4 linked regions of the Elephas maximus indicus genome follow. The protein of the gene in region 2 interacts with the protein of the main gene of each other region in a pairwise test. Links are inferred from orthologs where the notes say so. Each region holds a gene or a part of one and is shown on either strand. Other genes may lie near its edges.

Region 1 (7,711 bases), on a different chromosome or scaffold from region 2:
TGCCTGATCCAAGCTATGGTATTTTTAATCACCTCATATGCATGTGAAAGCTGGACAATGAATACGGAAAGACGTAAGAAGAACTGATGCCTTTGAATTATGGTGTTGGTGAAGAATATGGAAACCCTCATGGCGTAGTGGCTAAGTGCTATGGCTACTAACTGATCAGCAGTTCGAATCCACCAAGTGCTTCTTGGAAAATCTTTGGGGCAGTTCTACTCTGTCCTGTAGGGTCACTATGAGTCGGAATCGACCCAACGGCAATGGGTTTGGTTTGGTTTTGGCAAAGAATACTGAATATACATGGACTGCCAAAAGAACTAACAAGTCTGTCCTGGAAAAAGTACAGCCAGAATGCTCCTTAGAAGCAAGGATGGCAAGACTCACGTACTTTGGACATGTTATCAGGAGGGACCAGTCCCTGGAGAAGGACAACATGCTTGATAAAGCAGAGGGTCAGTGAAAGAGAAGAAGACCCTCAAGGAGATGGATTAACACAGTGGTTGCAATGATGGGCTCAAACATAGCAATGATTGTGAGGATAGTGCAGGACCAGACGGTGTTTTGTTCTGCTGCAGGGTTCCTATGAGTCAGAAACGGATCGATGGCACCTAACAACAACAACAAATTGAGGTATAGCTTTAATAGGAACTTGGCATCTGACTAAGAATAGCCTTCAGCTTTGAAAGGTCCAGACGGAGTAGTGTAATAAAGGTGACGCATACTGGGATACGACACATCCCAGAAGGCCACTGAAAATATTATTCTACATTTACTCTAAATTACTACTTTCACCTTATGCAAAAATCTATAAACTTCAGTGGGTTGAACATTCTAAAATTAAATTAAATTGGGATTCAGACTATTTATACTTTAGGTAGTCTTTTAAAAAGGAAGCACCTTAAACACTTCAAACAAAATTCTTCCATCTTCATAAAGAGATGCTTTTATTTATTAGAAGCCTGACGGTGCTTGCTCCCAGTCCGAGGCCAGGCGGGGCTGTTTATGTGAGTTTCGCAGTGAAAAGAAGTTGAGGGTGCTTAGTTCCCTAGACCTTGTCTGAGGTCACAAACCCATAGCAAGTGAGGCCATTTTATTGCTGGGAGGGTTCTTGGGGTTTTGTTATCTTGCAGATGAAACAGATGTTTGCAAAATTTCAGGATCCCATTACTCGGACCATCTAAATATGTGTCAAAGAGATCATTTCTGGCACCTTTAGACATGGGCTCAGTTAACAGTAGCAGCCACCATCATGACCCTGTGTACTCACAGGGCACTTACCACTGGACCTCTCTGCCCAGAACCATTCCTACTGGAGGAGGAGAGGCTTGCTGAGAAGAGGGTGACATTCTAAAACTTTTGTGAAAGGCAGACAGGGCTGAGCCTTGGCTGACCAGGAATTCACTCCTTCCCTTTCTAGTTTGAATTCTGTCATCATCACCCAAATGCCTGCAGAGTCAGGGCAGTGAGCTCAAATGCTGTCGGTGACATCAGATCCAAGGCCAGAAATGACACGTGGCAGGAGGAGGTTCTCCTGGCCACTTGCCATCTTCATCACTCTGTCCAGCAGCCAGAGAGCTGCTCTTCTCTAGAAACAAACAGACAAAAAATAGACCAAAGGTGGGAGTGCGGGGAAACAGCTTGTGGCAGGATTTGTCCCCCAGAGCTCTTCAGAAGCCTGCACTAGGGGAGGGCAGAACAGCTGGCTGCATTTCCTCCTGTTATTATCTGCTGTGTCAGCCTGGTGGTGGTGTGCTGTCTGCCCTCCTGGGGGAGCAGCAGGGCCCACCGTTGGATGACTCACCCTCTGACTAGGCAGGCGTGATTTTAAATGTGCATGTGTGTCCCTCTGATGACAGAATCACAGATGTCAGGGTGGGTGCTGGGGACTGGGGGCGGAAAAGTGAACAGGTTGGGATGGAAGTCGGGTAGCAAGAGGAACCAAATGGCAGGAACGCTTGCCGTCAGCAATCCTTAATAACACTGTCATTTACTGATCTGCTGTGTGTCCTCCAGGTGCCCAGCTCCAGACACTGCCTCTCACCTTCGAAACACAACAAAACAGATTTCCATTCTTCAGCTGCAGTAATAGAGACTCTGAGAGGTAGGAGCTTCCATTCTTCAGATGCTGTAAGAGAGACTCTGAGAGGTAGGAGCTAGGAAATAGCAGAGCAATCACATTCCATGCCGGTAGTGTCGCATCACCCATTTAGGGAAAGTGCCCACCTGTTAAACCATTGCTGTCGACTCATGATGACTCCATGTGTGTCAGAGCAGAACTGTGCTCCATAGGGTTTTCAACGGCTGATTTTTTGGAAGTAGGTCACCAGGCCGTTTTCTGGGGCGCCTCTGGGTGGACTTCAACCTCCAACCTTTCAGTTAGCAGCTGTTTGCACCACCCAGGGAACCCGCCCATATGTTAGGGGCTTCCGTTTCCCCAGTATCATCCCTTCCAGGTCTCGTCCTCTGCTCCTATGTGACCCCAAATTTCCACCTTGAATTATAAAACATAGGCCAAGAGACAAATGTCTCCAAAAACTCTTCGTCGGGCCATGTCACCAGTGAAGCTGCCTGGGAGCAGGTCATTCTATGTAGAGGCTGGTCCTGAAGAGCCAGAGATATGGGAATTGGGGTGAGGAGAGGCCATGTCAGAAGTAACTGGGACAGCGCCAGTGGTACCAGCTGTCCAGGGAGGACCAGCAGGGGAGGACAAAACCTGGAGGGAGCAGAAGAGAAAGCCCAGGGAAACCATCCCCACCCTGACAGGAAGCTCCAGGGTGCCCACCAGCCAGCTGAGCTGCAAGGGTCCTGAAGGACTGGCTTCCAGAAGCGGGCGTGATGAGGTCCTGACTTTTTCAAGTTTACACCTCTGATATACGTCAAGCATTAACGTGGCAAATAGGATTAATATGATTTATAATTACAGCTTCACCTTGGGTTTCATGGGGCTTTTTTCCTCCATAAACATAGACTGCTTTTGTATGTAGCTTCTGATTTCCTGCTCACAAAGCCTGCTTTGGGGCATCTATAATTATCTTCATTTTACAGTTGGAGACACTGGCCCCAGAGAGGAGAAGATGGAGCTCTGTGAATCCAAAGCAGTTCCTAGGCCTCTGCTCAGCCAGCCCACTGCTCACAATTACCTTTGAGGATAATTAAGGTCAGCTTTTGCCTCTCCCTGTCCAAGCCTTTCAAACTCACCTGGGCTTTCTACTTACAGAAAGAAAACCTAGATTCCTTCACTTTCTAGCTTTGTGGCTAGTCAACCCCTCAAGCTTGGGTATTTGAGCTGTGAAATTTGGGGCTAATAATGGAGCCCTGGGGGTGCTGTAGAAACCCTGGTTGCATAGTGGTTAAGAGCTATGGCTGCTAACCAAAAGATTGGCAGTTCGAATTCACCAGCCGCTTCTTGGCAACCCTATGGGTCAGTTCTGTTCTATCCTGTAGGGTCGGTAGGGGTCAGAAACCACTTATAGACACCTAACAAGAACAACAATAATGCTTACTCAGCAATGGCACTGTTCAGCAGAAACATAGCTCCAGCTGAGAATGTCAGCCACATAGGTAACTTAAAATTTCCTAGTTGCTATACTTTAAAAAGTTAAACAAGTGAAATTAATGGCAGAAATGTATTTTATTTAATAAACCCATCCCAAATATTACCGTTTTGATATGTAATTAAAATAATCAGTAATGGAATCTTTTACATTCTTATAACTTACTGTCCACTGTCTATGAAACCAGGTGGTATTTTGCACTGACCAAAAATAAAACAACAAAAAACACCGTTGCCGTGGAGTGGATGCTCTCTGACAGCACACCTCAGTTCGGACTGGCCACCTCTCAAGCGCTCACTAGCCCTGGATGACCAGTGGCTGTCCTGTTGGACAGCGTGGATGCCAGGTTTCTGTGAGCATGAGGCGACATCATGCGTGAGGCAGTTACGTGGGCTGACACACATGGCTATTACACCCCTGCCCCTCTTACACACACACACACACACACAGAATTTTCCACATTCAAGTCGCTTTTACAAGGATCCAAGACCCCGAAGCCAACATCTGACAACCCCGCGTCCTGGAGGCCTCGCTGCACCTCCCAAGCACACCATGCTCCTTTTGCATGAAAGCTTTAAAAGCCGCCCCCTCCTAACCCCAGCCTCGGTTCCTGGCTCCAGGGACCCGCCCGCTCTCCAGCCCCATCAGAATGGAAGGGAAACCAGGCGCGGAGTCCAGATCCCCTGGACCCCTTGCAGGGCCCCTTCGAGAGCAAGTGTAGGCCCCACTGAGAAACACAACCCCGGGCCCCGGGTCCCCGGTCTTCAGCCCCTCCGGAGCTAACGCAGGTGGAACTGAAGCTGAGGGGCAGCTGGAGGGCCCGGCGAGGGGCGTTGGCCGCGCCCAGGATGAGGAGGGGGCGGCAGTTCGGGTCCGAGGACCCGGCACCGCCCTTGGGCCATCGAACCGAGATCTGGGCGCCCCTTCGGCCCGCGGGCCGCGCCCCGGCTCCCAGTCGCTGTGCCGCAGTCTGCCCGCGCCCCCGCGCCCTGCCGCGCGCCTGCCGCTCCGGGTGACCTCAGTGCTGGCGGGCGGGCGGGGGCCGGGGCGGGACCGGGGCGGGCACGGACGGGGCCCCACCCCCCCAGCCGGGGTATAAAAGGCGGAGCCCCGGCGACGTGCCTGTCTCTGCGCTCCCCACCCTTCCTCAGCGCAGTCTCGGCTCGTTTTGCAGCCGCACCATGCGTGAAATCGTGCACATCCAGGCGGGCCAGTGCGGCAACCAGATCGGCGCCAAGGTGGGCCTGCGCCGGGGAGGGGGCTGGGGTGGGGGGGACAGAGGATACGGGCCGAGGCGGCGGGGCGAGGCGGGACACCCGAAGGTGCGGGCAGGAGCTTAGGCCAGGGCGCGGGGAGACCGAGGCCCCGAACCCGTAGGACTCCGATGGGCCCAGGAAGCCGCCTAGCCACGGAACCATGTGCCTTTTAAGTAGAGGCCCTTTTAAATTTCCTTCGACCAACCCTTCTGCCGGACATAATTGGCATCCTCCCAGGGAATAGGAGTCTCAGTAATCTGGATAGGGGCTGCGGTCATAGCCAGTGCCCGCAATGAAGAATTGGTGTATTTTTGTCTGCCACTGAATGAAAAAAATGCAATGTCATTGGAGTGACAGATGTTATAGAGGGTTCTCTGTAGGGTCTCACAGAAGAGGATGTTAGGTACATTCTCTCAGCATGGGCGCCATCTAGAAAGGACCGTCTGTACCATGAGGGTCCTGTTTGGTGTCTTCAGAAGACGGGTTGATGTAACGCGGCTGTACATCACCAACCAAGTGGGAACGAGGAGCCGGCCTGGTGCAGGTGTGGGCGCACCTGTGCAAGATCCAGGTCTCCTTCAAGACCGCCATATTGCCCCCTCCCCTCCCCCGCAGCCTCCCGGCCCCTTGCCCCCTCACCCCAGCATCGCCCTCAGGGTGGCCAGCTCCTCCACTCCCCCCCCCCCGCCCCAGGCGTCCTACCTCCCGCCTGCCCTTCTCCCCCAGCCCCGGGTGTGGTCTGTTCCTGTCTGTCAGAGGCATCAGTCTGTGCTGCTCAGGAGGTCTGGGTGGGGTTCCGTGGCAGCCTGGACCAGCTCACCTGGTTGTCATCCTGCCAGGACCACCTATTAGCAGGGACGCCCCGACCTCTAGCCCTGTCTGGGGGGGAGGGGGCAGACCTCCCGCCTGCACTCAAGGCTGCCTCCAGGAGGGGACTGCAGTGCCCACCTCCTCCTGCAGGGCCACTCCCTGCTTTCAGTCTGTCGCCATAATATGGCTGATGTGCTGCTGCGGATTTCCCAGCCCCTCAGCAGCAGCAGCTGCTGGAGGAAAAGGGAGCCTGCAGCTATTTTGTCTCTGCCCAGGACTCACTTGCTACCTGACCACTATGACCCCTGCTTAAGGAGGAGGGAGGGAGAATACAGCCATGCTGAGTGACGTCCAGGAGGCCACACTGTCATGTCATTCCTTTTCCTTCTTTTTATTTCAGTTTTGGGAGGTCATCAGTGATGAGCATGGTATCGACCCCACTGGCAGTTACCATGGCGACAGTGACTTGCAGCTGGAGAGAATCAATGTCTACTACAATGAAGCTGCTGGTAATTGAATTTTTTTTTTTTTTTTTTTTTTGTCTAATCAACCTTGCTTTCCATACTGTGGAAACGTATTTAGAACACACTCTTGCATTCATTTTAATGCCAGCTGCTAAGAAATACACTTTATCATTCCTTAAGACTCCCGTGTATTTGACATGGCTGGACATGCTAAGCATATCCTCTTTGAAAGCAGAAAAACTCTATTCTCCTACTTTTAGCTCAGCTGCTGGAATTTTCTCTGACCAACCCTGATGGGAAAGCCAGATGGATGGGCCACAGCCTTCTCCTGTGATCCCTTTGCTAGCTGCAGCTCTAATTCCAGCTTTTGTCCTGTGCAGGTAACAAATACGTACCTCGGGCCATCCTGGTGGATCTGGAGCCTGGCACCATGGACTCAGTCAGGTCTGGGCCATTTGGCCAGATCTTCAGGCCAGACAACTTCGTCTTTGGTACGTAGCCGTGATCAGTTGGAACTGACTAAATGATTTACCTTCTTCCTAAAACCATGAACACCACAATGCTGAGTGGTATGTGCTCAGGTGGATTGTGTGTCCACAGACATCCTGAGTCTTGGGCTCATCTGTCCAGTTCAAAGTGACTGCTCTCTGGCCACTCTCTATAGCTCAAAGAAAGATTTAGCTTGTGGTGAGCTGCCATAGTCTTCCCATTAAACCTCTGAAGGTTTAAGAATAAAGAAGAATGCAAAAGTTTCAGACAATAATATTTCATAGGCTAGTGGTGATTTCAGAGGACCAATGACAACAGGTAACCATCTAAAGAGACCAAAGCCAAAAAAAAAAAAGAAAAGGTTAGGACCAGAAGTTGAGACAACTGCATAGAAACACTCTCTGCTGTCTGATCATCTTGTGCCTTCGCCCCTGCCTATTTAATTCTATATAACTCAATATTTACATGAGGTCTTTGTCCTCTCTTCTTAAAATTAAAAGCAGCTGGGTTCATTAAACATCTCTGTTTTTTCAACTAATAGCCTCACGTATATGAAACTTGCTTTTTACTTTATTATGATCCCTGGTGTTTCTGAGGGTGAGTGAGAGCATCAAAAACTATTTCTCTAGGTAAAAAGGGGGCATCAAAAAGAACCTGCCACTCAAAGAATAGTCTCACTTTCTCTTCCAAAGTCAAATGACAGAATTCAGAGCTCCTTACATTTTAGTGTCTAATCTTCTGCTTTCCCTCTGGCAGGCCAGAGTGGTGCCGGCAATAACTGGGCAAAGGGCCACTACACAGAGGGAGCAGAGCTGGTGGACTCCGTGCTGGATGTGGTGAGGAAGGAGTCTGAGAGCTGTGACTGTCTCCAGGGCTTCCAGCTGACCCACTCGCTGGGGGGTGGCACGGGGTCCGGGATGGGCACGCTGCTCATCAGCAAGATCAGGGAGGAGTACCCCGACCGCATCATGAACACCTTCAGCGTTATGCCTTCTCCCAAGGTGTCAGACACCGTGGTGGAACCCTACAATGCCACCCTCTCTGTCCACCAGCTGGTGGAGAACACCGATGAAACCTACTCTATCGACAATGAGGCCCTGTATGATATATGTTTCCGCACCCTGAAACTGACCAC
Region 2 (7,553 bases):
GCTGGAGGTTCAAATTCACCCAGAGGTGTCTTGAAAGAAAGGCCTGGCAATCTACTTCTGAAAAATCAGCCATTGAAAACCCTATGGAGCACAACTCTACTTTGATACACATGGGGTCATCATGAGTCAGAATCAAATGACAGCAACTGGTCTGTATTAGTATGATGTACCATGATCTATAATCTAACACAGGCCTGCTATGAACCATGGCTTAGCCTGATAACTTCAGTGCAGCCAGTGACTGAGAATACAGCTGAGTTCTAATTCTAGCTCTACACTTAATAACTATGTGACCTTGGGAAAAAGCTGGGTGACCGTGAACCTTAGCTTTGCCATAGGGAAAATGAGGATTGTAACACCCACCTCATTTTGGGGGAGTATGTTATCAAAGGAATTCATAATAGAGTGCCTAACACATTATAAATTTATAAAAAATTGCAGGTATTTTTATTCCTGGAAACCCTGGTAGCATAGCGGTTAAGAGCTACAGCTGCTAACCAAAAGGTTGGCCTTTCAAATCCACCAGGCGCTCCTTGGAAATCATATGGGGCAGTTCTACTCTGTCCTATAGGGTTGCTATGAGTCGGAATCAACTCAACAGCAACGGGTTTGGATTTTTTTGGTATTGTTATTCCCTATTAGAAACTAATGTCTTATATTTGTGTGGCAACTCAGTCTACAGGGTGCTTTCAGATCTTTTACCTCATTTGATCCTCACAGCACCTCTTTAAGTACAAAAGGCCATAATTACTATTCCCATTTTTCTTTTATCTTTTTTTAAACAGATGAGAAAAGTGAGGCTCAAGGTCACACTGCCCAGAAAGGAGGCGCTAGCTCAGCTGCTAACCAAAAGGTCAACAGTTCGAATCCACTAGCCTCTCCTTGGAAACCCTATGGGGAAGTTCTACTCTGTCCTATAGGGTCGCTATGATTTAGAATCAACTCCATGGCAATGGGTTTGCTTTGGCTTTTTTGGTTGTCCAGGGCTCTTTTGCTTGGTGGCACAGATTCTCAACCGTGACCTCAAAACAAAAAAACCTGTTGTCACAGAATCAATTCTGACTCCTAGTGACCCTATAGGACACAGTAGAACTGCTGGAGCCCACCAGCTGCTCCCGGGAGAAAGATGTGACAGTCTACTTCTGCAAAGATTAAGTGCCCCCAAATGACTGCATTTACAGCCTCTGCCCCTGAATGTGATAAAACTGAATTGCTTTTCAACTATCCTGCTATTCATACTTTAATCGACTCAAACTGATATTTCCACATGACTTCAAATTATTTTGCTTTAGAAAAAATAACAGCTTAGGAGTTTTGTTTTGTTTATTTGAGTGTGGTAAAAGTAAATTTTTTTGTTTTGTTTTTTGTTTATTTGAGAGCTTACTGTATATCTCCAGCACTGGGCTAGGTGTTCCACCTAGTCATTTCATTGAAACCTCACAAACCCTATGAGGGAGGTACGGTCAGAGTGCCCATTTAACAAATAAGGAAATTGAGGCACAGGAAGTCCAGGATTGGAATGTAGGCAAACTGTCTCCAAACACCAGTTATTAGGACATTGGTGCTGCCCAACTGGAGCTCTGGTGGCACAGTGGTTAAGAGCTCTGCTGCTAGCCAAAAATTCAGCAGTTTGAATCCACTAGCCTCTCCTTGGAAACACTACCGGGCAAGCTCCTACGTGATCACCATGAGTCGGAATCAACTCGATGGCAATGGGTCTGGTATGGTTTGGCTGTCCAACTGACATTTGTGAAACAGGTATACATTCAAAGTGCTTTCACACACACCAATCTATGAGCCACGGAGGGCAGGTATTAGCTCTCTCCTTTTACATCTGAGGAAACCCAGGCTCAGAGATGTTACGTGACTCATGACTCGTGTAAAGTTCTTTCCTGATCCAGCAAAACCACCACGCAGCTCTTTTGACTCTAAATCTCCGGAGATCCTCAAATTCCTTTGCATCTATTTGAAGAGTGAGACGTCCACAAGCCCGGTCATTCTTGAAAAGCAACCATCCACCTTAACGACTTCAGGGTTATCACTAGAGTTGACAGTGGAAACGGACACTGTCACACGCGGGCGGAGGGAGGAGCGTGGGGGACAGTGAAAGAACCTCAGATCCTGGCGTTACCGCCTCGAAATCGGAAGTGGGCGGTGAAATCACTGACAGAGCAGGCCCTTGGGGCGGTGCCAGCGCCGCATTCCTCCTTCCACCCCCACCTCCTCCCTCCAGGTTCCCGGCGGGACCGGCGAGAGCGCGCCCCGTGCGCGCGGAGGAGGGCCCGTCGGATCCGGCCGCGCGCGTCTGCCAGCGGCGAGTGCGGGGCGCCAGCGAAGGGCGCGCTCAGGCCGCGGCGGTGCCTGTGAAGGAGCGAAACACAAACTCGCCCCTGTACACGTCGGACACGCCTCGCCGCGGTACTAGCGGGCCTGACGCGCCGTCGTACCCGGGCCTCCGCTTCGCCCTGAGCGCACACATACTGGTCCGGCGCGGGGCGCGGCACGCGGGACCAAGTTCTCCTCCCACCCTCCCTCGAGAGGGCTGAACGGAACCCGAGTTAGCAGGGAGCACCCGGCCCGCATGACTCCCTCGGCGGTCACGACGCGCTCTCCGACTCTTCCCTCCGGGGTCCCTCCTTGGGCCCAGCCACGGGGCACGCGGAGGGGTCGCTTGGGGAACCGCCCGGGGCCGGCCCGCCGCTCTCCTACCTGCGCCTTGGCTCCCGGAGCCGGGTCGCTCCCAGCGCCCGGCCCAGCCACCCGGGGCGCCCGGGGGACCCCCGCCCAGCATGGCCCGGCCGCGCCGCCCCGTCGCTTCCTCTCTGCTGCCAGCGGCCGCGGGGGTGGGCTCCAGGTCGCCGGCTCCTCCTCCTCGACCTCTTCCTCCTCCGCCCCGGCTCCCCCAGAGACCCAAGCCGAGCTGGGAGGGAAGTGGGGAAAGGGCGGCCAAAGAAGGGGAGCCGGCTTCCTCCTCTACGGCCAGCGGCATCCTGCCCAGCCCTCGTCCCCACACACACCCACACTCACGCAGAATGCGGCAGCGGGCGCGCCGGACCAGGGCCCAGCCCTTCTCCCTGTACCTGGATGGAAAACTCCCTTTTTACTCTCGCTCAGTTTCTGGAGGAAGACAAGTGGGGAAGTGCGCTGGGAGGACGGGTGTCACAGCGAAGGAGAAGCTGTGAGGCCCTAAGTGTACACGAGGGCGCCCCCAGATGCATGAGTGGGAGTCGATGGATGAATGAGAGAACTAACTTATACAAAAAAAAAAGGTGAGGGGAAAAGGGAGAGATGCGAGGTGACACTAGGAAAGGTATCAGTGGTAGCAGCTGTTCGAAGAATGAGCTGTGAGTCCACGTTCAACACTAGATTGGTTGCTTCCAGATCCGTGACCCAATGTAAGGCGGTTCCGTTCCAGGATGATAATCCTTGCCAAGCTCTTAGACCAGCTACACTCACCTCCTTCGCTGCTTCTCTTTGACTGATTCAAAGAGGCTGTTGCAGCACCTTTATGTAGCACCCGCTACAGGACAGTGGGAGCAAAGAAGTGCCAGAAATGGTTTCTTGCTCTTCAGAGCTTACCTCCGGTCAGGAAGACGAAACATGTTCCTGTAAAAAATAGCATCATACAACAGAATATGCCAAGTGCCGGGGGCTTAGCACAAAGGTGTTGCAGAAGTTCAGAAGTGGGAGAGTGTGTGGTGAAGAGAAAGGGTCAGTAAGACTTCTGGAGGGATGGGAAGGATCTTGCTAGAATTAAAGGAGGGCTAAGGTCCCTTTTTTTTTTTTTTAAGGTCCCTTCAATGGTAAGAATTTTGTGAGCGAAAACGCGTTGTTGTTAGGTGCGGTGGAGTCGGTTCCGACTCATAGTGACCCCATGCACAACGGAACGAAACACTGCCAGGTCCTGTGCCACCCTTACAATGGTTGCTATGCTGAAGGCCATTGTTGCAGCCACTGTGTCAGTCCACCTTGTTGAGTCTTTTCCACTTTCCCGCTGACACTGTACTTTACCAAGCACGATGTCCTTCTCCAAAGTATGTAAGACACGGTCTTGCCATCCTTGCTTTTAAGGATCATTCTGGTTGTACTTCTTCCAAGACAGATTTGTTCATTCTTTTGGCAGTATTATATATTCAATGTTCTCTGCCAACGCCACAATTCAAAGGCATCAGTTCTTCTTCGGTCTTCTTTATTCATTCTCCAGCTTTCACATGCATATGATGTGATTGAAAATACCATGGCTTGGGTCAGTCACCCCTTAGTCTTCAAGGTGACATCTTTGCTTTTCAACACTTTAAAGAGGTTGTTTGCAGTAGATTTGCCCAACGCAATGCGTCTTCTGATTTCTTGACTGCTGCTTCCATGAGTGTTGATCGTAGATCCAAGTAAAATGAAATTCTTGACTTCAATCTTTTCTCCATTTATCATGATATTGCTTGTTAGTCCAGTTGTGAGGATTTTTGTTTTCTTTACGTTGCGGTCTAATCCATACTGAAGGCTGTGGACTTTGATCTTCATTAATGAGGGCTTCAAGTCCTCTTCACTTTCAGCAAGCAAGGTTGTGCCACCTGCATAACGCAGGGGGTTAATGAGTCTTCCTCCAATCCTGATGCCCCATTCTTCTTCATATAGTCCAGCTTCTTGGATTATTTGCTTAGCATACAGATTGAATAGGTATGGTAAAAGAATACAGCCCTGACACACACCTTTCCTGACTTTAAACCACTCAGTATCCCCTTGTTCTGACTGAACAACTGCCTCTTGATCTCTGTATGTGTTCCTTATGAGCACAATCAAGTGTTCTGGAATTCCCATTCTCCGCAGTGTTATCCGTAGTTTGTTATGATCCACACAGTCGAATGCCTTTGCATAGTCAATAAAACACAGGTAAACATCCTTCTGGTAGTCTCTGCTTTCAGCCAGGATCCATCTGACATCAGCAATGATATCCCTGGTTCCACATCCTCTTCTGGATCCAGCCTGAATTTCTGGTGGTTCCCTGTTGATACACTGTTGCAGTGGCTTTTGAATGCTCTTCAGCAGAATTTTGCTTGCATGTGATATTAATGATATTGTTCTATAATTTCCACATTCGGTTGGATCACCTTTCTTGGGAATAGGCATAAATATAGATCTATTCCAGTCAGTTGGCAAGGTAGCTGACTTCCATGTTTCTTGGCATAAACGAGTGAGCATTTCCAGCACAGCATCTATTTGTTGAAACATCTCAGTTGATATTCCATCAATTCCTAGAGCCTTGTTTTTTGCCAATGCCTTCAGAGCAGCTCAGACTTCTTCCTTCAGTACCATCGGTTCCTGATCATATGCCAGCTCTTGAAATGGTTGAACATCGACTAATTCTTTTTGGTATAATGACTCTGTGTATTCCTCCCATCTTCTTTTGATGCTTCCTGCGTCACTTAATATTTTCCCCATAGAATCCTTCACTATTGCAACTTGAGGCTTGAATTTTTTCTTCAGTTCTTTCAGCTTGAGAAACACCGAGCGTGTTCTTCCCTTTTGGTTTTCTGTCTCCAGGTCTTTGCAAATGTCTTCATAATACTTTACTTTGTCTTCTCGACCCACTCTTTGAAATCTTCTGTTCAGTTCTTTTACTTCATCATTTCTTCATTTTGCTTTAGCTGCTTGATGTTCAAGAGCAAGTTTCAGAGTCTCCTCTGACATCTATCTTGGTCTTTTCTTTCTTCCCTGTCTTTTCAAGGACCTCTTGCTTTCTTCATGTTTGATGTCCTTGATGTCATTCCACAACTCGTCTGGTCTTTGATCATTAGTGTTCAACGTGTCAAACCTATTCTTGAGATGGCCTCTAAATTCAAGTGCGATATACACAAGGTCATATTTTGGCTCTCGTGGACTTGCTCTGATTTTCTTCAGTTTCAGCTTCAACTTGCATATAAGCAATTGATGGTCCGTTTTCACAGTCGGCCCCTGGCCTTGTTCTGACTGATGATATTGAGCATTTCCATAATCTCTTTCCACAGATATAGTTGATTTGATTCCCACGTGTTCCATCTAGCAAGGTCCATGTGTATAAAAAAAAAAAAATAGTCACCGTTAATGTTGGTGAAAGAAGGTATTTGCAAGGAAGAAGTCGTTGGTCTTGCAAAATTCTATCATTCGATCTCCAGCATTGTTTCTATCACCAAGGCCATCTTTTCCAACTATACATCCTTCCTCTTTGTTTCCAACTTTAGCATTCCAATCACCGGTAATTATCAATGCATCCTGATTGCGTGTTCAATCAATTTCAGATTGCAGAAGCTGATAAAAATCTTCAATTTCTTCATCTTTGGCCTTAGTAGTTAGTGCATAAATTTGAATAATAGTCATATTAACTGGTTTTCCTTGTAGGTGTATGGATATTATCCTATCACTGACGGCGTTGTACTTCAGGATAAATCTTGAAATGTTCTTTCTGATGATGAATGCAACACCATTCCTCTTCAAGTTGTATTCCTGGCATAACAGACTAAATGACTGTCCGATTCAAAATGGCCAATACCAGTCCATTTCAGCTCACTAATGCCTAGGATATCAATGTTTGTGCATTCCATTTCATTTTTAACAATTTCAAGTTTTCCTAGGCTCATACTTCATACATTCCATGTTCTGATTATTAATGGATGTTTGCAGCTGTTTCTTCTTATTTTGAGTCGTGCCACATCAGCAGATGAAGGTCCCGAAAGCTTTACTCCATCCGTGTCATTAAGGTCGACTCTACTTTGAAGGGGCAGCTCTTCCCCAGTCATCTTTTGAGTGCCTTCCAACCTGGGGGGCTCATCTTCCGGCACTATATCAGACAATGTTCTGCTGCTATTCATAAGGTTTTCACTGGCTAATGCTTTTCAGAAGTAGACTGCCGGGTCCTTCTTCCTATTCTGTCTTAGTCTGGAAGCTCAGCTGAAATCTGTCCTCCATGGGTGACCCTGCTGGTATCTGAATACCAGTGGCATAGCTTCCAGCATCACTGCAATACACAAGCCCCTACGGTACAACAAACTGACAGACTCATGGGGGTGAAAACCCATAGCTGTGCTTAAAAGTTGGTGTGTTATGGGACAGAATGAATGTGAGCATGCTTGATTGGGCTTAGGAATATGGGCTTGTCACTTTTGGGTGACTTATTCTTAATTTGGGGCCCACAGACCCCTGTAGAGGTCCATGGATGATTTCGGTGGTTCATGGAACCCTTGAAAATATGTGCAAAATTTTGTTTCCATCTGTTTTTTATTTGTCTTTTAAGATAACTTTAATCAACTTATCAAAGAGTTTGTGACATAAGAAGGGTTAAGATCTACATCCGTAGACAGTAAGAAGCTATGGAAGGTTTTGGGGCAGATGAGTGATATTAAAGGAAAACCTGGTGAGTGATATTACTACCACTAAAATGACAAGTATTTATTGACACATACTATGTATAACAGACCAGGTCAAGCTCTGGAGACACAAAGGCATATAATGTGACAAAAGTCTGAAGAAGGGTACCTTGCAACAAGATATAGGGAAATTCTGAAAAACCACCAGAATATACG
Region 3 (7,973 bases), on a different chromosome or scaffold from region 2:
AGAAGCATAAAAAGCAGTTCCTAAGAGAGGATTTCAGGGTGCTGCCTATCTACACAACAGCGGTTTCCAGATGTGCCAGTCTAGCACAGTGGTTCCCAACAGCGGTTTCCAGATGTGCCAATCTAGCACGGTGGTTCCCAACAGTGGTTTCCAGATGCGCCAATCTAGCACGGTGGTTCCCAACAGCGGTTTCCAGATGTGCCAAACTAGCACGGTGGTTCTCAACAGCGGTCCCTCCTGAATCTCAAGAGAACTCATCACCCTTCCTCTGATAGCTTTACTTTTATTATCTGCTCATTTACAAAATATATTTTTCCTTAAGAGTCCAAGATTTCTTAAATCAGGCACTCCCCTGCCAGTACCTGTGTGTAAATGCTTACTTAATTTTCCAATTCACTATAGGATCTTGGAATGGTGTTGTGCTGGGTGGGTTGAGGAGATGGGATGGTCCTTATTCCACAGATCGGGAATATCTAATATCTGGTCCAGTTACTATTCAACATAAGGCCATTTAACAAAGTATAATCCAGAAAAATAAAAACATAACTTGCACTTACATTTTTGAATTAGCACCTTATCTTCTCATATTGTACTACTGGAGAACAACGAGCCCAATAGTATTACAGAATAGAGCCAACTCCCTTTACTCTGATTTAATCACGTGACATGGGAACTGTAGGTGGAGGTTGGGAGTAGGGAGATAAACGATTGAGGAATTTTTGTTACTTTCTACCACACTCCTCTCCCTCCTTTCCATTCGACTTAACCACGGCAGTCTTCTCCACCTACTGGAGTCCCTGGGTGGTGCAAATGGTTAACCTGCTCAGCTGCTAACTGAAAGGCTGACGGTCTGAGTCCACCCAGAGGCACCTAGTAAGAAAGGCCTGGTGATCTACTTCCAAAATCAGCTATTAAAAACCCTATGGAGCAGTTCTACTCTGACACACATGGGGTTACCATGATTCAAAAGTGATTCAATGGCAATTGATTTTTTCTCTACCTACTATTATTGCGGAAACCCTGGTGGCATAGTGGTTAAGAGCTATGCTTGCTAACCAAAAGGTTAGCAGTTCGAATCTACCAGGCGCTCCTTGGGAACTCTATGGGGCAGTTCTACTCTGTCCTATGGCGTCACTATGAGTCAGAAATGAGTCGATGGCAACGGGTTTGGTTTTTTGGTTTACTATTATTGCAGTTTGTAAATGCTTATTTAATTTTCGAATTCACTATAGTATCTTGGAGACATTGCTGGTTCAGTGGTAGACTTCTTCCCTTTAATGGGGGAGACCTGCCTTGATTCTGGGCCAACGCACCTATTGTGGAGCTACCACCCATCTGTCAGCAGAGGCTTTCATGTTGTTATGATGCTGAACACGTTTCAGTGGAGCTCCTAGACTCAGATGGACTAGGAAAAAAGGTCTGGCAATTTAATTCCAAAAATCAGCCAAAGAAAGCCCTGTGGAGCACAGTTCTACTCTGACACTCATGGGGTGGCCGTGCAGCTAACAGCAACAGGCATCTTGAAGAATCCATTGTTTGCTTCAGTATAAAATATGAATTGTAATGTGATTAAATATTTACCAGTATGTTCAGAATCAAGAAAAGATAATTTTCATAAAATGTATCATATTTATAATGTACAAAAATGGAAGAAAATTATTTTGTAAAATACCATATCTTATCATGTGTGGATATGTGTATTCCTGCTCGTCTACTTAAAAACTCCCCTTAATTCTTTGGAGCTAAGAAAAGCATCGACAGCACTGGGTTTTTTTTAAGAAAAGCAAAGACAGCTTTTCTAATGTTGTCTTTGAAACATTCTATGTAAAGTTCACCGTTTAGGGGCAAGAAAACCTTCATGTTTATCAATTAGAAAAAAGAGAGTTCACCAAAAACAAAAAACACTGTGATTCCATAGTGAAGTATTTTAAGAATTTTCAAGTTCACCCACCTTCCTTCTTTGAGGAAGGACAAAAATGAATCAAGACTCATTACTGACCAGGGTACAGCCCTGGTCTAGAGGCCTAAGTGCTTCCTTGAGGTTCTCAACTCTTTTCTTCAATCCAGAATTTTCATTTTAAAATCACAGTACAGAGAGTTGTAAATCTATCAAACCACTTCAGTGAGAGGTAGCCTGATTTTGTGGGGAGCCCTCTCCATTTCAAATGTGAACATCTCATCCCCTCCCATAATCTGGAGCAGGAGCATCAGCAAAGTGAAGCTAGTAAGAATACTCTGCAGTGGTTGTAGACAGGATTTATATGTCACAACTGGCCTAAGTGAATCCTAGCCCCCTTACTTACTAGCTGTATGACTCTGGGCCACTTTTAACCTTTCTGGTCACCATGAATCAGAATTGACTGGACAACAATCTGTTTGGTTTTTTTTTGGGGGGGGCGAGGGAGCCTTAATTTGGTTCCTGGGTGGTGCAAATGGTTGTCAACTAACCCAAAGTTTGGCAATTTAAACCCACCCAGCAGCATTGTGGAAGGCATGAAAACCCAAAAGAGCAGTTCTACTCTGTAACACGTGGGGTTGCCATAAGTTGGGATGGACTTGATGGCAACAGGTTCGGTTTGGTTGAGTTTTTGGGCTTTAGTTTTCATACCTATAAAATAGGTATAATAGTAGTAATTACTTCACACAGTTGCTGTGAGGATTAAATAATACCTGTAAGAGCCCTGGTGGCGCAGTGGTTAAGAGTTCGGTTGCAAATCAAGAGGCTGGCAGTTCATATCCACCAGCGGCTCCTTGGAAACCCTTTGGGGCAGTTCTACTCTGTCCTATAGGGTAGCTGAGTTGGAATTAACTGGACAGCAATGGGCACCAAATTAGCATTCAATATATTTACTTATTTCTGTAAATTGGGAGAGAACCTCTAAGGTAGCTCTTCAGCTTGTGTCACAAAGAGACAAAAAGTCTGGTTATGAGCAACCTGACCTTTCAGTTTCTGCAGTGGCTTATTATATCATCTGGATCTACAGGGACGGTCCAACACAGCAGCCACTAGACACATGTGGCTACTGAGCACTTGCCTGGTCGGAATTAAGATGTGCTTTAAGTGCAAAAGACTGAATTTCGAAGATTTAGGAAAAAAAAAAAAAAACTTCAGCTTTTATATTGATTACTTATTGATATGTTTTGGCTATACTGTGTTAAATGAAATATAAAAAAACCAAAACCAAACCCAGTGCCGTCGAGTTGATTCCGACTCGTAGGGACCCTATAAGACAGAGTAGAACTGCCCCACAGAGTTTCCAAGAAGCGCGTGGAGGATTCGAACTGCCGACCTTTTGGTTAGCAGCTGTAGCACTTAACCACTACACCACCCAGGGTTTCCAAATGAAATATACTACTATATTAATTTCACGTTTTTCTTCCCACTTTTTAAAAATGTGGACACCAGAAATTTAAAGTTACCTAAGTGGTTCGCATTGTATTTGCATTGGATAGAATTGATGAGGCACCTTGGTACCCATAACAGGACTGGCAGCTCCTAGGAGGAGGTTCTCAGGCCTGTCCCCAGACAATAGGTCTCTGCACTTTGACAAAATCCCCAGGTGATTCTTCCGCATTGCTCCGGGGTATTCGGCTGTTTGGCTGGATGAAGAGAGCAAATCTGGCCCTAAAGCCACCTTCCTTTCGGTAATTGATTATAGAAGGGGTACAGGGGAAAGAAGAGTTAGGGAGAAAAAGCAAGGGAGATACATGCAACCTGGGAGATAGACGAAACCTGGGAGATAAGTAGAAGGGGAGAGAGATGCAAACGGAGATAAAACCTACAATTAAAAACCCATACAGGGCCAGTAAGGACCCCAGTGGCGCAGTGGTTAAAGCGCTCGCTGCTAACTGAAAGGTTGGCGGTGCGACCCCACCAGCCGGGCGGGAGAAAGACGTGGTGGTCTGCTTCCGTAAAGATTACAGCCTTGGAAACCCCTATGGCGCAGTTCTGCTCTGTCCTGCAGGGTCGCTAGGAGTTGGAATGCACTCGACCGCCATGGGTTCGGTTTCCTGGTATTTTAACGCGCCAGGAAACTGTCCGCCAAGTTTTATCCGCTCCTGTGCGGCCTCGGCTAAGCTAGGCCTGGACGTGAGCACGTCTGAGGTGGGGATGCGACGCGAACCACCACCCGCCCAGAGCTGGCGGTTCCGCTCGGTGTCCTTCCACCTTTCCCCCAAAGCCCTGACACCCAAGACACACATCGCCTTTCCCGAGGCTCACCTGTCTCCGGGCGGCCCCAAAGCCCTGCAGCTTAGCCACCGCCACCTTCAAGCCCTTCCGCAGAGAGCCCGCCCCTTCGCTCCACGCTGCTGCTCCTATTGGTCTGTTAACTCGTCACTCCTGCAGGGCTGGGCACGACCTCCGGAGGTTGCGCAGAACGCCATAGCAACCGGATTCGGAACTACATCTCCCGGCATGCCCGCGCGGGGGCGGAGCCAGGCCCCTCACTAGGGGCTACCAATAAACGGGGGAGGTTTTATGCAAATTTATGTTTAAAGACCACACCCTTCCTCAGTCCCACCGTATTCCTGACCACTTTCCGTAACTAAGTTAGTTGAACGCACCCTATCTAGTATCTGGAAAGGCAATGACAGATGCACTGAAATCGTGGATCTAAACTCCATAAGCCCCGACACAGAAATCACAGACCAGAAACCTCCGGTTACGACTTCGCGGAGGAGGTGGGGGTGGGGAGGCAAGAGACCTACGCCCGCCCCATTCGCGCATGTTGATTGGCTTATTCGGCTGTCACTCCGTCCTCCTCCACCCTTTCGGCTCCTCCTCCTTCGGGCCCGCGGTGGGCGGAGCTAGCGATAGGGGGCGGTGCGGAGGGTTAGGCCCGTTCTTCTGATTGGCAGGCTGTTTGTCCCCGCCCGCTTATGGGCGGGGACGGAGGGTGGGTGGGGCGGGAGAGGCAGCCGAGGGATGTGAGGAGATAGGCGGGAGAAAGGAGCGAGGGAGCGAGGGAGGGAGCGAAGGAGGTAGAGAGCAGCGGCGGGCCAGGGGAGGGAGCGCAGCTTGGTTGCTCCGTAGTACGGCGGCTCGCGAGGGAGAATCCCGAGCGGGCTCCGGGATCGACGGAGAGGCGGGCGGGGATGGTGAGCGGTGCTGCGGCTGGTCAGCGCCTGCCCGCGGCGTGTGCGCTGCACTGATTGCCCGGCGCGGCCGCGCGGATCCGCCTGGAGATGAGGTGAGGAGCAGGCGGGCGGAGGGCGGCGGCCTGGGCGGGGGTCGCGGGGTCGGCGCCATGGCCGCCCGGGGCGCCCTCCCGCGGGCCGGCGCGCGTCCCTGGGGCCGCCCTGCAGCGCCGCCGCGCGCCTCGCCCTTCCATCCTCCCGGGCGGCGGCCGGGCCGGCGTGGGCTTGCGGGGCGCCTCCAGCGCGAGGCCCCCTCGGCGGCCGGCGGTCCTTCCAGGGCTGACCCGGGCGCCCTCGGCCGCCGGAGCGCGGGGGCCGGCCCAGCCTCGCCCCTCGCCGGCGCCGCCTCCCCGCGCCCACGGCGCGTCTCCCGTTGGCGGCGCCGGCTGCCTGCATGATCCGCCGGTGAAGGGCGCTCAATGCCGCGCGGCCGAGCCCGACTGCCGGGCCGCCCAGGGGCGCCGCATCGAGCGCGGCCCCTCCGCAGCCCCGGCCGCCGCGCCTCCCCGCGCAGCCCTCGCTCCGGGTGGGCGCCAGGCCGGGAGGAGACGCCGCGCAGCCCCGGGAAGGGGGCCGCGGGGAGAGGCTGCATCTCGGCTGCCGTTTGCCCGGGGCGCGAAGACGGTTCGCAGGTGACGTTTCTTGCGGGCGTCTTCTGTGTTGGCATTCGGACCGAGGAAGCGTCTGCTTTTGGAGAACAGATGAGTGGCTTCTCCTTGGGGTTGGAGGCAATGGAGGTTTTTGATAGCCTCTTAAATATGAGAAGTTTCCTTTAGAAGTTTGCCATCGTCGGTGCTGCACCGATCCGAAATTTTAAATACATGCAGGCTTTTCTGGCCAGATGCGTTTCTTTGTGCGATTATCTATTGGCATCCTCCCCTAAAGGATTTTCGTGGACGAAACATGCAAATAATAAAAATCGAGGGCAGCAAAAAGCACAGATCCTAAAAACAAGTACAATAACAAGCAAATGTCATCTGGAAAATTTTCAGTTCTGTTAGCAGGGAGGCAGTTTTACTAGTGCCGTGGCACCTCTGAAGAAACATGCCGAGAGATCTGGTTACGGATTTCCTAGTGGACGGGGTCTGAGGGCAGGTCAGCCGGTTTGCGTGGTGCGCTCTTAACCCCTAAAATGTGCTGCATGCGTCTGCCTGGGTATCTTTATTTTTAGATGATTTTAAGGTTGAGAGTGCAGAAGCTTAAACAGCTCAAAGTTATCTGAGAACAAGATACTGTGTAAGAAGAGACACTTTTTGTGATTTTTAGTTTTTTTTTTTTTTGGCTGGTCTTGAAATGCGTTGTTTTTGATGAGTGTTTGCTTATCACTAAGACATCTTTAAAAAAAAATTAAAGTTCTTTCAGCGTTAAAATTATTTCAGCCACCTTTAAGTGATTCCAGTAAGGGGCATTTCTGACAGTAGGTTAAAAAAAATTGGTATTTGTCTAAAGAATGTATCTCTTGAAATTGCCGAGGCACGTGGTACCTTCGCAAAACTATTATTATTCTGCCTGAGTAAGAGAGGAAATGAACACATTTTTAATGTACTTTGGAACCCCGTGGATTGTTCAGATAGATACTCGGCATTGTGAAATAGGGCATAAAATGACTGGTAGCAAGCTAGTTCCTTGAAAAGTTTTTCACTCTTAGCATATTTATTCTCTGTTGGCTGGCAATTTCTTTCTTAATGCTTATCTCTAATATTGGTATAGAACTCTGCATGTGTTCACCATTTCCCCAAATGCCTGGGTAGAGACAAACTCTCAAAACTCGTGTAGGAAATTAAGAAGAAAGTGATGGTAAATTCCTCTAGTCTTAGCCATCTTTTTAATTTGTTAAATTTGTGAATTATAGAGAATGAATTATACGAGGGTTGGGTTTACCTTACTCAGCTCAAATCCCCCTGCGTAGCACTGTCTTGAGCCTTTTGCATGTGATCATTCCCTTCTGAAGGGCTCCATCACTGGCTGGTTGGGTTTCTCAAATTCTGGACCTCAGATCACAGACATCAACAATGACTGAGGGTTATTGTTTCTGTCAGCTCATCTCAGAGTTAGATTGCCTGGGCGTGGGACTCCAGCATTGGTATTTTCAACAAGTTCTCTAGGGCTCTTTCCTGTGTGGTAAAGTTGGAGAACAACTGGTATTGTGCTTCCTTGTCACTGAGTGTCTCCTGGATTGTATGCAGTTCTTTATGACGACATCTTTAAGTGGATAGCAAGATTTTCAAATGCTAGGATGTTTTACCATAGGCTGCTCATGAAAGCCTATTGATCGTGACCTTCACCTGTGTAATATACCTGTCCTCCAAGTTTCAGAAGGGCTGAGACTTTGGCTTACCACTGTGTCCTCAGGGCCTAGAATAGTGCCTGGAGGAAAGAGATCAAATATTTGTTGAGTAAACGAGTGACCTGCATTGCATTGAGACCAAATTTGAAAATCTTGTGAAATTAACCTTGTCACTTAGTTTCGTTGTTGTTAGGTGCCATCAAGTCAGTTCCGACTCATAGCGACCCTGTGCACAACAGAACGAAACACTGCCCAGTTCTGAGCCATCCCCACAATCGTTGTTACGCTTGAGCTCCTTGTTGCAGCCACTTGTGTCAATCCACCTCTTTGAGGGTCTTCCTCTTTTCCGCTGACCCTGTACTCTGCCAAGTGTGATGTCCTTCTCCAGGAGCTGATCCCTCCTGACAACATGTCCAAAGTATGTAAGACGCAGTCTCGCCATCCTTGCTTCTAAGGAGTATTCTGGTTGTACTTTTTCTAAGACAGATTTGTTCGTACTTTTGGCAGTCCATGGTATATTCAATATTCTTTGTCAACACCACAATTC
Region 4 (7,602 bases), on a different chromosome or scaffold from region 2:
CTCTTAATCACTGTACCACCAGGGCTTCACTGTGACACCAGGGCCCCTAAAGCCAGTGTTAGTAATGAATTGGTCCAACTACTTTATAGAGCAATTGGACAACAGTGATTTCAAAACCCAGTTCTTTTCTCCTTTAAATTTTTTGTTGGTATTACATGTTTTCACTAATGAAGGCACGTTGATTAAAGGACCAATTCGGAGTTTTTCTTATGAGTTGTGGATTCTGATACCCAGTATCCGGATCACATGTGTCCCAGCAGCCCCTGGATGACGTAAATCCTGATGATATGAGTCAATGATCAAATCAGGTTTTTTTAATTTTTAAAATTTTATTTCTTGAACATTTGTACAACATGAAGGCATCTGGCAATGACTGCACATACATCTTATTCTAGTCTCCTTCTTCTTAGCCTTTTTATTTTTCATGAAACTTTTTTAAAAACACGGTACAAAGCATTCTTCCTTACTGCAAAAGTATACTTACCGCCCAAATAAATAACGCCAAGGGATTTTTTATCTCAGGAAAATTAGCAATACAATGCTTTCTTCATTATTGCAAAAGCAATACATACAGGCAAAATAAATAAAACTCAAGGAATTTGAATCTCAGGAAAATTATCACTTCTATGTATTCTTCATTATAACAAAAGCAGTACTAACAGCTAAGAAGCAGAAACAGCTGCCCTGGAACACTGCAGACCCGTTCACAGTGGTGCATTCTACCCGCTACACATGGAAGTAATGACTGGGCCCTAAGACTGAATGCAGGGTAAGAATAACTTATAGGAGTTCCAATTTCTTGAAAAGTACCACTACCCAGAATTATTCCTTATGGGAAAGGCATTATTTACCGCTCAGAAGCTGGAAAAGAAGGGAGCAAGTAAACCCTGGAAACAATGAATGACATGAAGTGGAAAATGGCCACTAGGACTGAATGAAGCCTGGCAATAGCTTACTCGCACAATAAGTACACTCTCACAGAACATGGTAACTGGGAAACAGTGAGGAGGCCTATCTCACAGACAAAAAAGGCAAACCTGTCAAAAGTTTAGAAAATTCATGTATCTGAGAGGCATCACCTAAGACAATGTTCATTTTACACAAAAATGAGGCTCCCACTCAGGACTTCTGAGCTTCATGCATTTCAAAAGGTTCCCACCCTGAGGCTAAATGTGTTAAAAGAACTCCAGAGGCATAAAAAGTGGACGGGATACCATATGCTTCATGGGTCTTGAAAGGGTCAAGATGCATGTATTCTGACCCAGAGATTCCACTGCTGGAATTTCCACATTGTTTATAATACAGAAAACTGGAAGCAGTCTATACGTCCTTTAACAGAAGAATAGATAAATAAATTGTGGTCTATTCAAACAATAAAGTAGACTCCAAAATTAAAAATCATGAATTGGAGCAATATGTCAACACAGATAAATCTAAAATAAGCATTGAATGAAAAATAGGAAGTTTGCAGAAGAAGGTATACAATATAACATCATTTATAGAGGTTTTTTAAAACATACAAATCAATACTATGTATTGTTTGTGGATGCATACACATAAAGTAAAACTGAAAACATAAATGGAAGGGCTCCATCTGAATCCGATGTGGCAAGATAGTAACAACTGTTGGATTTCAGTGGTGTATACACGGATGTTATGTCATTCTGTACTGTACGTGTCTTGAAGGTTTAAACATTCCTATTTTTTTCTTTTTAATGAAAAGATCTAGGCATTTAGAAATAAGGGTAACGGAGGATAAATGGCTGCATCAATCCTCAGAAAGGATGATCCACTGAGATGGGATTAGGAGAGGGGCTGAGTCCTGGTTCCAGGGATTAGGAGGATTAATTCAGATCATCTCCCTCCCAGCTGATCACCTGGCTAACATCCCCACCACTCCCAGCCCTTCAGAGAGTCATCCCGGGACCACATTTCACCCCACCCCGACACCTGCTAAAACCTTTCCTCCTGCCCCCACCCCCACCCCCACCCTCCACTCAGTACTGTCCTGCCAAGATTTACCCACATTTGGGTTCTGGGGATAGACTGGTTCAGGTCTCCTCTGAATGTTCCCCAAGTTCACGGTGAATGGTGACATGCACCCCAGGACCAAATGAGAGATTAGTCCTGACACTCAGGATCAGAGCTCCCTGAGGAAAGCCTGGGTGTCACAGTTAACTACAGCCTCCCCTGTCCCTCCCTCCACAGTCAAGAGGTCAGCAGTCAAGGCCAACTGCTAGCCAGACCCCACAGGCTGAGCCAGAACCAGGAGCTGTGCCGGAGCAGAAGGGACAACCACTGGCTTCCAGCATTGGCCTCTGTATGCCCAGGTCCTCTATGCCCTCCCCCTGCCTACTGCCGGCCCCTTTCCACCCCCTGACAAGTGTCCCGCTCCTCAAATCCTGACAGGTCTAATGTCTGCAAAGACCCTCCTGAAGAGATTGGGTGGGCTTGCTCAACTGCCTTTCCCCAAGACCAGATCACCTTGGCCACAGGATCTGGGGTGGAATCCTGTCCTCTGGGGAGCAGGTGAAACACCTTTGATGTCTCATTGTTTCTCAGAGTACCAGGCTGGGGGTGGGGTGGGGATAGACAAAAGAGTTAACAGGCAACATTTAACTGCATATCAGTGAAATCATATTTTTAATAATATGCTGTATGGTTGGAAAATTTACCTTTAAGTGTCAGGCATTTTGTCTGGTGCTGGCGACACACAGGTGATGGAGATACTTCCATACCTTCAAGAAATTGGGCAGACAGAAAGGTGAAAACCTGGTCTTGTCAATCCAGAGTGAGTGACTGGTGCTGTGACAGAGGAAGGATGACAGGGACCGTGGGATGGCACAATAGGGGCATCTGTGGGGTTGGGGTGAATGTCAGGGAAGGCTGCCTAGACGTGACTCTGGAACAGAGCACTTAAAGGTAAGTAGGGGGTGTCCAGGTGAAGAAGGGCTTCTTCCATGTAGAACATCATGGTGGAGGGTTGTGAACCTGGGAACCAGTGGGGATGAACACAAACAACATATGCCCATGACCTTGTGAGTGGATATGCAAGAGAAGGGATTGGTGCGTGCCCCGGCTTAGGAATTTCCCAACAATTTTCCAGATATATTGGGAAGCCTTAGTTCCCAAGTCGTTATGGGTTAAATTGTGTCCCCCAAAATGATATGTTGAAGTCCTAATCCCTATACCTGTGAATATGACCCTGTTATGGAAATAGTGTCTTTGAAGGTGTTATCAGTTAGGTTAACATGAGGTCATATTGGAGTTAAAAAAAAAAATTGCAGTGGAGTCAATTCCAACTCACAGGACAGAGCAGAACTGCCCCATAGGGTTTCCAAGCAGCAGCTGGTGGATTCAAACTGCTGACCTTTTGGTTAGCAGCCAAACTCTTAACCACTGTGCCACCAAGGCGCCTACTGGAGTAGGGTGGGTCCTAATCCAACATGATTTATAAAGGAGAAGATACACAGAGACAGGGAGACATGTGACGCTGCAGCTGCAACCAAGGAAATCTTGGAGCTGCCAGGAGCCAGGAGACAGGTCTGGAACAGATCACTTCTCAAAGCTGCAGAAGGAATCAACACTGCCAACACCCTGATCTCGAAGTCCCAACCTCCAGAACTGTGAGATAACGAATGTCTGTTCTTCTACGCCACCCAGTTTGTGGTATCTTGTTAAGGCAGCCCTAGGAAACGAAGGCACAAGTGTCCCCACTTCTTTCGGGCTGAGAACTGCAGAAGTGTGAGGACAAACGCATCGTCAAGATACACGAGCACACGGTGACAGTCTCTGAATGAATGAATGAATGAATAAGTGAAATAAGCCCTCTGGACTTCCAAACCGCCCTTTTACAAGAGTGAAAAACAGCGCCCACTCTGAGCAGGCAGCGGGGCAGCGTGGGATGGGGGTCTCAGCTCGCAGCCCATTGGATGAGGGGCGGGGGGTGGGGAGGCAGGGCAGAGGAGAGAGGAGGTCTTCAGGCGCCTCGGGCTGCGTAGGGTAACCGGAGGGGACCTCTCCTTAAGTGGGCTACTGGCTCAGGCTTGGTAGGGGGTGGCGAGGAAAACCCAGAGGGCCAGGGTCCGGGGACAGTTTCATATCCCAGGCCGTGGCTTCCCTCCTCCTGCCCTCAGGGCTCCGGGGTCGAGAGGCCACGGCGCTGGCCTGGGGCGCCAGAGGCCGGGGTCCGCGCCGACTGTGGGGTGGGGAGCGCCGGCCCTGCGGGTGAGGAGAGAAGGGAGTGTCGTGTTTGCGCGCTAGGAGGAAACAGGCCAGGGGCACTGGTCCATCTGTGTCCTTTCCCATTCCATCACTGCGCGCCCGGACACATGGTGGCAGCGGGGTCCCAGCGCACCGCCCAGTCGGGGCAGGACCCACCCCCAGGACCAGCCTCAAGCGGCCAGTTGCTCCCGTCGGCGATGCGGCCGGCCCCTCCCACTGCCTTCGGTGCCGGCACCAGGAAGGCACCCAGCGGGTCGGGGGTCGCCCCACCCCCGCGCGCCCGCCCGTCCGGGTCCGGGAGCCGGGAGGAAGGCGGGCTTCCGGGCGGCGGCGTCAGGTGGCCGCCAGGCCCCGCCCCTGCCCGCCCTCCCACCGCCTCCTGCGCACCGGCCCCGGTCCCCGGCCTCGCGGTGCGGCGTCTGCTCCGGGCGCGGCGGCGGAGTGGCCATGGAGGCCGGCGCCGGGGCCGGCGCGGGAGCCGCGGGCTGGAGCTGCCCGGGCCCAGGTCAGAACCGCCCGCCCTCACTCCTCACCACCCCCCTTCCTCTTCCCGGTCCCCCTCCCTCTAGGCCCCCAGACCCTCTCTCCCTGCAGGACACCCTGCCTCTCGGCCTCGAGTCTCCCTCCCTCTGCCCCGGCCCCCCACCCAGCCCGGGCCCCATCTTTCCCACTTCGGCCGCGCCCTTCCTGGCAGCCCCTCCCCGGAGCCCTCTCCAGCTCACCTCGCCGGCCTGAGAAGGGGGTCCGACCCTGCACACCCTCCGGCCCCGGAGGCTTCTGAACGCGGGGCGAGGGGGGAGGACGGGATTTGGAAAGAGAATGCAGGGGTGGGGGCGGAGCGGCGCAGTCCAGCCCCGCAACCCCTTCCCACAGCCCCCATCACTTGCCGCCCCTTCCCCGAGCTGCCTCACCATCTCGGCCGCATCCTTACAGGCTCCTGCCCTCTGTCTTGCATCCTGGCCCACCTCCTCCCCGTCCCCTGCCGGCTAAATATACACACACCTTCCTTCTGTCGGAGCTAGGAGAGGAGCCCGGAACAGGGGTGCTGACGAGGCAGGCGGGGGTCCCGTTGGCTGAGAGAGGGGAGTCTCAGAGCTGGGCAGAGGGAGGCAGGGACCTCCACTGGGATTAAAAATCCCAGGGCTGAAGGATTGGAAGGCACGTCACCTTCTCTCCCACCACCCCAGGCCCGCCCCTGGCATCCCCCAGCCCTTCCTCTCTGCCTGTTCACAGGAGCAACAGTAACCACATTAGGCTCCTTTGAAGTATCTGAGGGTTGTGAGAGGAAGAAAGGCCAACGCTGGGGGTCTCTGGAACGTCGGGGGATGCAAGCTATGGAGGGTGAGTTTTCTCAAAAGCTTCCCCCACCCCCATTTTCTTTCCTTCCATCTTCCTCCCTCTGACCCTCAGTGCTCCCAGCCAGGAAACAGTCCTTCGCTCAGTTTATCTCAGCCCCCTCCTCTCTTGTCTGAGCGTACCCTTCCCCAGGGCCCAGGCTTTGAGGGAAGTCCTGGGCTAATCTCTTTGGTGCCCCAGTCCCCATCTAACCAGGTTGTGTGTCCCAGGGGAGCTGCCAGACAGAGAAAGAAGCCTTGTTGGACAGAACGTCAAAGGATCCTTTCAGCAGGGGCTGTTCTCCCTGTCAGATCTAAACCCAAAGCGCCCTTATTTTGAAAAAGCAGGCAAGTGGGCATGTGCACTATCTTCCTGATGCCACCACGGCTCACTTCTGATGAAGCTTGTGGCTTTGGTTCTCTCTGGTATCTTACTGCCTGAAAAGACAGGGCCTAGCAGGGCCAGGTGAGAAGGCCAGCCTCCCACCACCCATCTCCCCACTAAACTCAATGTGACTTGGCAGTGGCTGCCAGCCCATGCCCTTGGAAGGATGCTGGTTTATTTTCCAGGACTTCTGTGAAGTGTCGCCAGGCCCCTGTGCACACTCAGTGTGGGCAACCCTGCTCCCCCCATGGAGGACAGGTGATACAGGGGGCCCCAGGTGAACCTCAGGCTCCTGATATCGGAGAAAATAAGACCAGAGAGTCAGATTCTAAAACAAAGCAAGCAGTTGCCACCCAGGCAAGATTTTGCTATTTGGAGGAACTGCATTGCAGCAAGGAGGGGGGGCTCACCAGCCGGAGGAGGGGACAGACACACCCCAGTTTCTGAATGCATTAAAGGATGGACTTCCTTTTACACTCCAGTCCAGCCTAAGACTTCCCCTGAGAACCACCTTGTGGTCAGCAGGAGGAGAAGCCCCGTGATGCCCTGGTAGGACAGGGGGGACCTCATGCCACCCACAGGGAAAAGGAAGGTAGACTTTGCAGAACACTTCAAAAAAGGCTATTTGATAATATACCTTTGTAAGGGCCCCACTGTTTGTCCAGTGAAACATTTAGAATCATTTTGTGTGATATTTTCTTTCTCTACCTCCTTTCATGTAATGCTTTTTACTATGTATTAAAAAAAAAAAAAAGTTGCCATCAAGTCGACTCTGACTTATAGCAGCCCTGGGTGTGTCGGAGTAGAACTGTGCTTCACAGGGTTTTCAGTGGCTAATTTTTCAGAAGTAGATTGCCAGGCCTTTCTTCCCAGGTACCTCTGGGTGAATTCAAACCACCAACCTTTCAGTTCACAGCTGGATGCGTTAATCATTCGTACATCCCAGAGACTCCTTTCTTACCATGGAAAGGCTAATTTCTCACAAGCCACCTGGTTAATTTTTTAACTTTCCACAAACCCCTAAACTAACCCTTGCACCATTTGGCCTGAAGACGTAGCCAATGTCTGAATTATTTCTTAACTACTTGCCCCACGACCCAGAGGCCAGGACTAGAAGAACCAGGTATCCTTGTGCAAGCTCCATATGGCTGAGCCAGCACCAGCCTGCTCCGTTTGCCTGAAGGTAGTAGTAGGAGACCACCAAGTGTAACATTGGTCCAGAGGGCCTGTGAGGGGGAGGGGCTGCCTCCAAACTTGACCCTCACACCTGAGTTCTCACTGGAGCACAGGCCTGCCCAAGGGCTCCTTGGGGGACACCAGGTGGCACTGTTAAACCATCTGTGTCTTGGGATAATGAGTTCGAGGGCCCTCAAAGGGCTGCAAGTAAGGTGGCTCTGACCCCCTAGTGGGATGGGTGTCTCTCCTAGGGGAGGTGTTACTTCCAGCTCTCTATGAGGAGGAAGAGGAGGAAGAAGAGGTGGAAGAGGAGGTGGAAGAAGAGGAAGAACAAGTGCACAAAGGTGGCAGCATGGGCTCCCTGTCTGTCAGCAAGCACCGGGGCCTGAGCCTCACGGAGACAGAGCTGGAGGAGCTGAGGGCTCAGGTGCTGCAGCTGGTGGCAGAGCTGGAGGAGACAAGGGAACTGGCGGGGCAGCACGA

Evidence for each region.
Region 1: the proteins of DISC1 (region 2) and tubulin beta-2A chain interact in a two-hybrid assay, tested with the Homo sapiens proteins (2 studies listed by BioGRID and IntAct). The link is inferred for Elephas maximus indicus from reciprocal best matches to the Homo sapiens genes DISC1 and TUBB2A.
Region 3: the proteins of DISC1 (region 2) and ITSN1 interact in binary tests that used the Homo sapiens proteins (3 or more experiments, as listed by UniProt). The link is inferred for Elephas maximus indicus from reciprocal best matches to the Homo sapiens genes DISC1 and ITSN1.
Region 4: the proteins of DISC1 (region 2) and CCDC136 interact in a two-hybrid assay, tested with the Homo sapiens proteins (2 studies listed by BioGRID and IntAct). The link is inferred for Elephas maximus indicus from reciprocal best matches to the Homo sapiens genes DISC1 and CCDC136.

Annotation. Positions count from the first base shown.
Region 1 is NC_064819.1:43,839,678-43,847,388, reverse strand, and holds the start of tubulin beta-2A chain, read left to right. Parts: upstream 1-4,698; 5' UTR 4,699-4,738; coding exon 4,739-4,795; intron 4,796-6,023; coding exon 6,024-6,132; intron 6,133-6,467; coding exon 6,468-6,578; intron 6,579-7,332; coding exon 7,333-7,711. UniProt on the Homo sapiens protein: Tubulin is the major constituent of microtubules, a cylinder consisting of laterally associated linear protofilaments composed of alpha- and beta-tubulin heterodimers.
Region 2 is NC_064842.1:32,964,907-32,972,459, forward strand, and holds the start of DISC1 (disrupted in schizophrenia 1 protein), read right to left. Parts: upstream 3,018-7,553; 5' UTR 2,990-3,017; coding exon 2,710-2,989; intron 1-2,709. UniProt on the Homo sapiens protein: Involved in the regulation of multiple aspects of embryonic and adult neurogenesis. Required for neural progenitor proliferation in the ventrical/subventrical zone during embryonic brain development and in the adult dentate gyrus of the hippocampus.
Region 3 is NC_064836.1:27,968,551-27,976,523, reverse strand, and holds the start of ITSN1 (intersectin-1), read left to right. Parts: upstream 1-4,957; 5' UTR 4,958-5,192; intron 5,193-7,973. UniProt on the Homo sapiens protein: Adapter protein that provides a link between the endocytic membrane traffic and the actin assembly machinery. Acts as a guanine nucleotide exchange factor (GEF) for CDC42, and thereby stimulates actin nucleation mediated by WASL and the ARP2/3 complex.
Region 4 is NC_064826.1:21,273,126-21,280,727, reverse strand, and holds the start of CCDC136 (coiled-coil domain-containing protein 136), read left to right. Parts: upstream 1-4,599; 5' UTR 4,600-4,671; coding exon 4,672-4,729; intron 4,730-5,457; coding exon 5,458-5,565; intron 5,566-7,370; coding exon 7,371-7,602. UniProt on the Homo sapiens protein: May play a role in acrosome formation in spermatogenesis and in fertilization.